2 linked regions of the Xenopus tropicalis genome follow. The protein of the gene in region 1 interacts with the protein of each later gene in a pairwise test. Links are inferred from orthologs where the notes say so. Each region holds a gene or a part of one and is shown in the gene's direction. Other genes may lie near its edges.

Region 1 (5,083 bases):
CCTCCTGCTCTGCTCTGACCATCTGACCAACATAAGTCTTTGTGGCCCAATAGCATCCACTATCCAATGATAAAGTGCAGTTAGTTTAAGATAAATCATTATATTAACTGCACAATGTGATTTATTTATTCACTTGCCATTGTGGTAAATAGTATGTTGGAAAAACTGTGACTCTTAAAAGGAGTAAGGAATATGACTTGTAATTGCAATTTAATGTCTAGTATAGCTAAACAGATATCATGCTGGTCACTATGTGGGCTCCGTCTTTCAGGGTATTGATCACCTTTGTGCTGATATAAGGGGAGATCATTTAGATTTAAAAAGTACTTCAATTAAAAACCTCATTGATTCTTAGGTAAACACGTGTAAGTTAGGGTTGACACCTGCCCGGTATTTTACCGGCCTGGCCAGTACAAATTATTCTTAAAGGAGAAGGAAAGGCTAATAAAGAGTTAATCTCAAGCTGCAGGCATACCTTCAGTTCTCTCAATAGTGCCCTTAAGTCTCCCCATATTTCACCTGTTCAGATGATCAGAAGCCTTATAGGGAAAAAAAACACTGAGCTTGGTGAAAGTTCCCATAATGCCTCACTCCTACACCAAGACCAAGAGTACATGCTCAGTTAGTAAGACTATGAGGAATCTTCCTGCTGATTGGCTAAGATCGCACATTCCTAAGGGGGGAAGGGAGTTCTTAGCATTCTTGAGGGAGGAGGGAGCAGGAGAGGGGAGAGAGGAGAGAGCTGCGTGTGTCTGGCACAGGAAAACAAAGAGACAACAAATCCTGTATCTTTTAACAGAGAACTCAGTGCAGCGTTTCTGTGAGTGCTTATGGCTGTATTTACATAGACCTTTCTGATAAAGCTTACTTAGTTTTTACCTTTCCTTCTCCTTTAATGCTAATGTTATTAATAGGGAAAATAGCTAAAAATATAGGAAGGCCAGCATCTTTTTCGAGAAAAGGTGGCAACCCTAGTGCATACCTCCCAACTGTCCCGATTTTCGCGGGACAGTCTCTCTTTTGGCAGCTCAGCCTGCAGTCCCAGATTCTTACTGAAAAGTCCCTCATTTCCCTTTGATCTTCTGCACTGAAGCTAATTTAATTAAAAGTAGCTTTTGGCAGAGACCCCACTTAGATACATTGCACTTAGATACATTGTTTCTCACATTTAATGAAATAAGTGGGCTTTTGGCAAAGAACCCAGAAAGGTAAAGAGCCCCCCCCTGCACTGAGATACAAGTGTAACTAATAAGCTAAACAGACCTCTTGGGGGAACTGAGACTTGCAACTTAAAGGACAATTTCATCTTTTCAGCAAAACTATAACACATAAAACAAAACCCCCAGAAATGTAAACAAACTATAACCTGCCAAATGGGAGTGGTATTTAGGGGGTGTGGTCGCAAAAAAACGGGCGTGGTCACAAAGTAGCTGTGCTCTGCATTTTTTTTTGTCCCGCTTTCCATTTTCAAAATGTTGGAAGGTATGCTAGTGTAAGTCTGAGCTGGGGCGGGGAGTTTTGCCATAATCTTGAGCTCATTATTGTGTTCAGCACGCAAAAGACTTTACATATAATCATAAAAGCACGAAACAACATGCTGTTAGTTATGTACATAACATTTGAACCATATAAAGTTCGCCACACATTATTTCACCCCATGTCAAGCACTAATATTACACAAGATGGCGCTGACGCACCATTAGGAAATAGAGAAATACGCTTTCCGTTGCTTTTTTTTTTTACTACACCCAAACAACCATCTTGGCTTATAAGCAATGGACATGCCTTCAGAAAATGGCGCATAAAATAGCGATCCCTATTGGTGAGGATGCGGCTGCAAATAATTTCCACTTCCGGGGTGAAGTTAGACTGATATTTTCGTCATGGGCGAGGGGCGTATTTAGCTTTTCTGCGTTAGAGCAGGGATTCTCCTCCAGTTTATGCCATGCTAGAGCTAGATACCGGCCCCTGATAGTGAAATGGCGTGGGTACGCACCGCTTTGGAAATCCAGCAGCTTGGAGGGGAGGCAGAGGTGTTTGATGAAGATGGAGACGAGATGCGCCTTTTGCAGCGAGATTGGCAGCTGTCCATGGAGAAGAGAATTAAGGTATTCGGGAGATAGTTAGACTAACATAGCGAGTTTGGGGGCCCCTTTCTAGGCATTGCCCTATTTTACTGGTAAGTGATTTCATGTGCTCCTGGTTACCTACCCCAAGGCATACATTGAGAAGCAGGTTTTCTGGGAATTACAAGGAGGTTGGTAAAAGCGGGGCTCTGTTTTACCTCAGGGCACTGCTGTGTTATGGAGCACTCGCATCGGGGTTTCAATGTTTGTCGCAGGAATTCGGCATTTCTTCTAAACACACACATGTTCTTTCTGTGTGGCCCAAATAGCTAGTCAGTAGTAGTTCAATATAGCACACTTTATTAATTATAATCAAGAGTAATGTGCTAATAAAGTTAGTCCGTTCATTGAAGGTCAGTGGAGTTTGCCCTAATTCAAGACTAACCTACCTCATTTCTCTGCCTTGTCATTGCTTTATACACAACTTTCTTACCTGCACCCAAGCTGTGATTCGGGGAAAGTAGAATAATCACTCCCATTTCAGAACTTTATCAGTCGTTACACAAGTAACTCATTATGAAGTTACTGGTTGACCAGGTTACACTAATTCGGGGATCTTTTTGTGAGCCACAGTCAAATGTAAAAAGACTTGGAGAGCAACACAAGCATCATAAAAGTTCATGAAGGTGCCAAATAAGGGCTGTAATTGGCTATTAGGCAGCCTCTATGCACACTATCAGCTTACAGGAGACTTTATTTGGTAGTAAATCTTGTTTTTACTCAACCAAAACTTGCCCCCAAGTCAGGAATTCAAAAATCACTACCTGGTTTGAGGCCTTGGGGAGCAACGTGTTGCTCACAAGGCACTTGTTGGGGATCACTGCACTAATTAGTCCCATGTCCTACCCACCTACACATTAACCCTTTCACTGCAAGCAGATTTGGTCACAACAGAACGTTTATTGCCAGACAGTTTTTGAACATTTTGCGCTCTTTCACTTTAGAGGCCTTTTCTCAGGGTGGACTTTTAGCTTACCCAGGAAAACAATATATTTTTTTCAGGGCAATCTAAGCTTTCACAATATGCTAGAATTTTTGTGTAATGCCACTTCTATAACAATATAGGCTTCTAAATATCTATATTTAAGTGTATGTGCTTGGCAGATAGAGCCTTTTACTGCCAGCACATACAGCCTACGTGCTTGGCAGTGAAAGGGTTAAAATGGCAGGGAAAAAAATGTACCGTATCCACCAGTATATTGTCTGTTGGATATGTAGGATGCAGTAGGCATGGAGTTTTAAGTTTAAATTAATTTTAGGTTACAGATGAAAACTATTTTAACTGCTTTAATTTTGTGGAATGCTTGTTTAGTTTGAATTTCTATTCTTGTATTCGTAGGAGGGCTACGTTGATGGAATAGAGGCTGGGAAAGAAAATTCTCTACAAACAGGGTTTAATTTTGGATATAAAGTTGGAGTGAACCTGCTAAAGCATTACGGAGAGCTTAAAGGGATCTTAAGGTAAGTTGTATTGTATTTTATCTTCACTTCTCCAGTTATTTCCGACAGCTTTTCAGTCACGGGAATTACAAATGTTTAATGTGTCAAAATGCTCAGGGTGCTTTTATAAGCAGTATTAATTTTTCAGTTTTAGAGCTATTTAAGTTTTTATTAACTGCCAAAATAATAAAGTTTGTAACATCACTGCCTTCTGGTTATTTCCTGCAGTTGTACAGTCAAAGAGAGCTACCTTTTTAATAAAAAAAAAAAACAAATATTGTGCTGTTGCTTTGCTTAGGAAGGAGATGGGAAAAGGCAATTGGGGCTTCTGATCGCTTTCCTGTTTCTGTTCTGAATGTAAGGTTTGTATGTCTTTGACTGTACAATTTCAAGAACTGAGGTAGCAATATTACAAAATTCATTATATTGGCAGTTAATAAAGACTTAAATAGCGCTGAAAGATTTAACATTACATATTTTTAAGAATTGTATATATTTTTGGCAGTTCAGAAGTTTCTACACTTTTGTTATATAAGCACAAAACTGAATTATCTCATGTGAAAAAAGGGGGGCTTTTTCCCCTTTAAAGGGTTTCTTGTCACGGCTACTAAACACCAGAAAATCCCCTGCCATAGAAAATAGAGAATTGCCTCTGCTAAAACACATGTAGAGACAGTTATCAGTAAATGATCAGCATTGTCTGTTTTAGTAGCTGCAACAAGTAGCCGCTACTAGTAGCTCCGTGTGTCTTCACCCTTACAGGAAGAGCAACATTTTTTTTTTTTCTCTAATTTTGATAATTGACAGCCATGTGACTTGTGCTTCGATAAACTTCAGTCACTCTTTTAATTAAGTATTTTGCAACCTACTGCTAGCTCTTCACAAATTTGTAAAATATTTTAAATCTTAAATTGTCAATGTTGATGTTTTACTTACTGCAAACGTGATAGAAGAATGAGTACAATAGGGACAATCAGCAGAAAATTGATGTCAAAAGTTTAACTAGGGTCAGCTGACAATAAAACTTGTTGTATCATCAGGAAATGCCAGTGCTTCTAGAAAATGTATCTATGTTATCATTGTCGTTTATATAATGTACTTTGTGTGCTTGTTGCAGTGCACTCCTGGCATGGTGCCAACTTCACAAGACAAAAGATGCAGCTTCTGGAAAACTACATGAGCTTCTGACTTCATTAGATCAGTGTGAGGAACAAATTGTAAAAGATCTATCTTCCTTTTATAAAGGTGCACAACCATCTGATTTGTTGCACTGTGTGGAGGACATGGCTCTAATCAGTCATGAGCATAGATGTGAACTGAATGAGCCAGGCTCCTGCGCAGGTTCCAGGAACTGTTGCACAAGTCAGGACTCTAATGGATCATCAACATTCCGTTGCATGAATACCAACTATATCAGCGATTCAACAAAAGAAGAACTTTGTAAGATTTTTAAGGAGACACTTTTGGTGGCTGAACAACTTGATATTTCAGCAGAACTTCTTTACTATATTCAAACA
Region 2 (5,268 bases), on another chromosome or scaffold:
GAGACATTTTCAGTTCTTGTATCAAACACATATGGACTCTGCACAAAATTAATTTGATGTAGGGGCAATATTTGTTCCCCAGGTTAAGTACATACCACCTTTTCGGTATAGACAAAACATTTGACCAAACACCTCGAAGCCACGCCCCCAAACACCAAGCACAAATAACGATTGGAATGGCAGCAACAGCAATAAAGAAGCATTTTATGCCTGACCCCGTGGCCCCCCGCACTTCATGGCATTTTTCAAGGCCACATCACGCTATGTGACAATTAATAATTCCAAGATAACATATTCCTGCATGCGTTCCTCCAGCTGGCACAGGGCTTTGCAGGGTCTGATGAGCCAGAGGGACACCGGGAGAAAACCAAGTGGGCCCCACCCATACGGCATGGGCATGCTCATGAGGGGAAGCAAATGTTAAGATGGAGCCCAGGAGGTTGTGAGGGGGTTGCCACCTTTCTCTTTAGATATAGATGGGACATCGGGAGGGGTGTCAATGATATATAGGGGCGGGACATGATGTAGCGAGATGTGATTGGCCATATTTCACGCCAATCCTACCCCGTTTCCAGATGTCTAAAAACCAAGCAGGCAGCTATGAACTGGGCAGCCCATCTAAAAACCGGACCCCAGGCCCTTCCCATTGCAGCCCCAAAGGGCCACTGCTGTCCCAGTCCAATACTGGGGCTTTGGCTGTGGGTGTCCTGGTTCCAAATGCAGAGTTGGACTGGGGGGGTTCAGGGCCCACCAGAGCTGCTGCCCCAGAGGTCCTGCACCCCCCAAGGTGCCCCCACTGGCCACGTCCCCCGCAGGGGCCCCCGTCCGACGTCCTTCCCTGAGCGCGTGTAAAGGTGGCCATACACGGGCCAATTGTAGCTGCCAATATCGGTCCCATAGACCAACTCGGCAGCTTATCGGCCCGTGTAGGGGCACAAACGACAGACCTGCCCGACCGATATCTGGCCTGAAATCGGGCAGATATTGATCGGGTAGGTTAAAAAATTTAGTTGGATCGGGGACCGGCGTTCTAATTCAATTGTCGCCAAACAACTGAATTAGCCTAAATTCACCCGATATCGCCCACCCGTAGGTTTTAACCTGTCGGACTGGGGGGTAAAGGGCCCACCCCACTCCCACCCCAGGGGCCCTACAGGTGCCCCCCTAACCCCCCTTGCAGGGCCCTCCACCTGACGTCCTCCCCTGAGCTCGTACATTTAATGCGTCAGGGGAGGAGCAGTCTGGCAGGGGGGTCGGGTCTGGGCCGCCGGGGCCCACCGTGATTTTTCCCAGTGTCCCGACACCCCAGTCTGACCCTGTTAACCCGTATGGCCACCGTAAGTGAAACATGTTAAGGGAGGACACCCGCGGCTGGGGGAATGGCAACAGGGTCCCGACGGCCCAGTCCAACCCTGTGTAAATGCCCTCTGAATCCCACCATAAGGCCACAGTCACACCTGGAATACCGCCCACTTCTCTCTGCCCGCAAAAACACCACAGACACTGTGCGTCACTATGGCCTCACCAACATTGCGGTCCCACAAGCTGAAAGCAGGGAATTCCCATTTAAACTTAGAAACTCTTTCCAACTATGCACCCACCCTGTTTTCTATTCATAATCCCTGTATATTATCTAACACAAATGACAGGGCAATGGTAGAGTTACATTAAAACCTTGTTAGTGCATTACCCCAGAGCTAATCTCCCATTCGCACCTCAGGTCTTGTAGTTACTCATTATTACTTATTATTACTTATTATCACGCTTTTCCCGCGTTCTAAGACGATGCTGCGTCACAAGCAGTAGCCATAGCAACCTGCGAAACAGGAAGTGCGCTTTACAGGCGCCATCTTGGTGCTCTCACGCAGCGGCTAGGCCAGCGCTCTTCCTATTTGCTTGTGGGAGGCGGATGTGGTGTGACGTAATTCCGGAATTTCTTTCAGAGGCTGATTTCGCTGAGCTAGGGTTGTGTGTGCGGCGTGAGAGGGACAGAGAGCAGTAATGGAAGGGACAGACGACCTGTTTGATGACATTATTATGTGCGAGCAGAGGTGCGGCCTGTGTTATGTTTACTTACCGATGTGCAGCTGCAGGCAGAGGAAGTTCAAGTTTGAAATGTATCATTATGTGGTTGTGCGAGTGACTTGGGTTCCTTTGCAGGTACCGCGGGGAGGGGTATGAGGAAGGGTTGGCGGAAGGAAACAGTGCGGGAGAGTCAGAGGGCAAGCAGTATGGAGCTGTCTATGGAGCAAGAATGGGATCGGAGGTGTGTATAATTATATACTATTAAATATATATATGTGTGTGTGTGTGTGATTCACAGGATACCCCCATTCATAGTGTAAATCGGTGCTACTAAAAAATAAGTAGTGACACTGGTTAAAGGATGCCATGTATTAAAGGAGAAGGAAAGGCTAATAAAGAGTTAATCCCAAGCTGCAGGCATACCTTCAGTTCTCTCAATAGTGCCCTTAAGTCTCCCCATACAGAGAAAAAAAAACGCTGAGCTGGGTAGAGAAGATTCCCATAATGCATCACTCCCTCAAGACTTGGCGGCTTGTTAATGCAGGCGACGCATGCGCACACAGCAGGAGCGGCCGGTTGCCATGGCGACGCAGCGTCGGCGAACTCTGTGACAAGCAGATGGGGGGAGCGGGGCGGCAGAGGGTTTGTGGAGCTTGGGGGGTTTGTGGTGGGAGCGGCGGAAGCTTTGTGGCGGGAGAGGCGGAGGCTTTGTGGCGGGAGCGGCGGGGGCTTTGTGGCGGGAGCGGCGGGGGCTTTGTGGCGGGAGCGGCGGGGGCTTTGTGGCGGGAGCAGCGGGGGCTTTGTGGCGGGAGCGGCGGGGGCTTTGTGGCGGGAGCGGCGGAGGCTTTGTGGCGGGAGTGGGGAGGGGCGGAGGCTTTGTGGCGGGAGTGGGGAGCGGCAGAGGCTTTGTGGCGGGGAGCGGCGGAGGCTTTGTGGCGGGAGTGGGGAGCGGCGGGGGCTTTGTGGTGGGGAGCGGCGGAGGCTTTGTGGCGGGAGTGGGGAGCGGCAGAGGCTTTGTGGCGGGGAGCGGCGGAGGCTTTGTGGCGGGAGTGGGGAGCGGCGGAGGCTTTGTGGCGGGAGTGGGGAGCGGCGGAGGCTTTGTGGCGGGAGTGGGGAGCGGCGGAGGCTTTGTGGCGGGAGTGGGGAGCGGCGGAGGCTTTGTGGCGGGAGTGGGGAGCGGCAGAGGCTTTGTGGCGGGGAGCGGCGGAGGCTTTGTGGCGGGAGTGGGGAGCGGCGGGGGCTTTGTGGTGGGGAGCGGCGGAGGCTTTGTGGCGGGAGTGGGGAGCGGCAGAGGCTTTGTGGCGGGGAGCGGCGGAGGCTTTGTGGCGGGAGTGGGGAGCGGCGGAGGCTTTGTGGCGGGAGTGGGGAGCGGCGGAGGCTTTGTGGCGGGAGTGAGGAGCGGCGGAGGCTTTGTGGCGGGAGCGGGGAGCGGCGGAGGCTTTGTGGCGGGAGCGGGGAGCGGCGGAGGCTTTGTGGCGGGAGCGGGGAGCGGCGGAGGCTTTGTGGCGGGAGCGGGGAGCGGAGGGGGGGCTGGCTTGTGCTTTTCAGCCCATACAGACAAGATGGCGGGCGCCGTTCACTGAAACAAGTATGTAGGTTCTAGTATGTGTATCTCTGTAAATCTTTCATTAGGCAAGCCAGGAATATGGCGTTTTTACACAGCAATAGTAGTACTATTTAATAGCGTGCTTAATAGATTTTGACTTTCCTTCTCCTTTAATGCAAAGGCGATTGCTCCACAAAAAACTCATATAAATAATGATAATAACCATTGCCCCATTTAATTACACTTTTTCTCCTCTTTGGACGCAGCTTGGCTGTTACCTGGGTTTCGCTTCAACATGGAGGCTTCTATTGGTACCTGCTTCTGATGATCGTCAAAGGTTTGTTTTCCTGTGCTTTAATAAGTAACCACCACTGATCCAATCAATCTGAACATTAGGTTCCTGCTTACACTAGCAATATAGCTTATTTTGAAAATAGGACCTCAGGGATGTCATGTTAAACCTTTTCCTGAAAATCCAGTCACAAAAGACTTGTGTAGTTAAATAAGTAGAATAGATGGTTTTTCGTTATGAATAAAACACAATTTTATCCAACGGTAAAATATGCAAACATTTTGTCATTGAGGCCTTAAGGTTATGTATAGTGCTTTCCTTTTAAAGGAGACCAAAGAAACAAAGAACTAGGCTAGAAATGCTGTTTTTTGGGGTTTCTGTGCCAGCTCAAGCCCACAGAAGCCAGTCAAAAATCTCTGTTTTACATTACAAGCTGATTCAGTTTACATGGCAGCTTGGAAACCAGTGTATTCTACATCTGAGTTCATGAATTATCAGCCCTGTTGCATTAGCTTCTGTGACAGAGGTAACCTCCTTTTAAGATTTCAGAAGGTCTGTAAGTTTAGCATCTCAACAGCAACACAGAGCACACAGAGCATGTGCAGCGCCACTGACACTCAAAAGATGGCCTCATAAGATTAGGTCAATAGTGAATGCAGTCATAACTGCTACAATTCTTTGTTGGACTTGTAAGCACCAAGTGATCCAAACTGCTAAAAATTGCTTTGCTTGTTAAGTTTCAATGAAGTGTTTTAGCCTAGTGTTACGATGTAAATCATTACGATAAATGGAAATTGATGTTATTTTTTTTAATTCTATGCAGGCGAAAAATAAAAGCCCTTGATTCACTGATTGCCATGATTCGGAATTTTCATTCAGATGATCCAACTAATCCAAATCTTCAAGAGGACATGGCAAATATCCGTGGGAAGGTAAAACAGGTTAGTGTTGCACAATGCATGTTTTCTATTAAATTATTTTATAATACAAAAGGGAAGGGCCTATTCAGCATAATGTAATTTTATGATTTATGCTGGAAAACTGAAAACATATTGAGAAGGGGTGGGGTTTAAGGTCATCAAATTGCTTACTCAGTGCACAACAGAGTCTTGCTTGGACCCAAACCCACAATACGCATTTTGACCTGTTTGGGCCTGCTACCCAACCCACAACTGCCTTGTCCGCGAGTCGCTGACTGCCATTTAATGGGAAGAACCGTTACTGAAAACCAGAAGTGACGTCAGAAATGAGCAGGGGTAAAAAAAAAAAACAACTCCCCCCAGACAAAAAGCCCCCACCTGCTGCTATCTTGCTCCCTTCCCACAGAGTCTATTTCAGTGAACAGTGTTTCTGATAGTAAAGCTGACCTTTACAAGCAGAATAGCATGTCTTCTGAATCTTCATG

What was found. The genes of interacting proteins can lie anywhere in the genome.
Region 2: the proteins of yae1 (region 1) and lto1 interact in binary tests that used the Homo sapiens proteins (3 or more experiments, as listed by UniProt). The link is inferred for Xenopus tropicalis from reciprocal best matches to the Homo sapiens genes YAE1 and LTO1.

Annotation. Positions count from the first base shown.
Region 1 is NC_030682.2:64,476,265-64,481,347, forward strand, and holds the start of yae1 (protein YAE1 homolog), read left to right. Parts: upstream 1-1,842; 5' UTR 1,843-1,979; coding exon 1,980-2,108; intron 2,109-3,465; coding exon 3,466-3,587; intron 3,588-4,683; coding exon 4,684-5,083. UniProt on the Homo sapiens protein: The complex LTO1:YAE1 functions as a target specific adapter that probably recruits apo-ABCE1 to the cytosolic iron-sulfur protein assembly (CIA) complex machinery. May be required for biogenesis of the large ribosomal subunit and initiation of translation.
Region 2 is NC_030680.2:12,877,828-12,883,095, forward strand, and holds the start of lto1 (protein LTO1 homolog), read left to right. Parts: upstream 1-1,974; 5' UTR 1,975-2,001; coding exon 2,002-2,051; intron 2,052-2,160; coding exon 2,161-2,266; intron 2,267-3,837; coding exon 3,838-3,908; intron 3,909-4,686; coding exon 4,687-4,804; intron 4,805-5,268. UniProt on the Homo sapiens protein: The complex LTO1:YAE1 functions as a target specific adapter that probably recruits apo-ABCE1 to the cytosolic iron-sulfur protein assembly (CIA) complex machinery. May be required for biogenesis of the large ribosomal subunit and initiation of translation.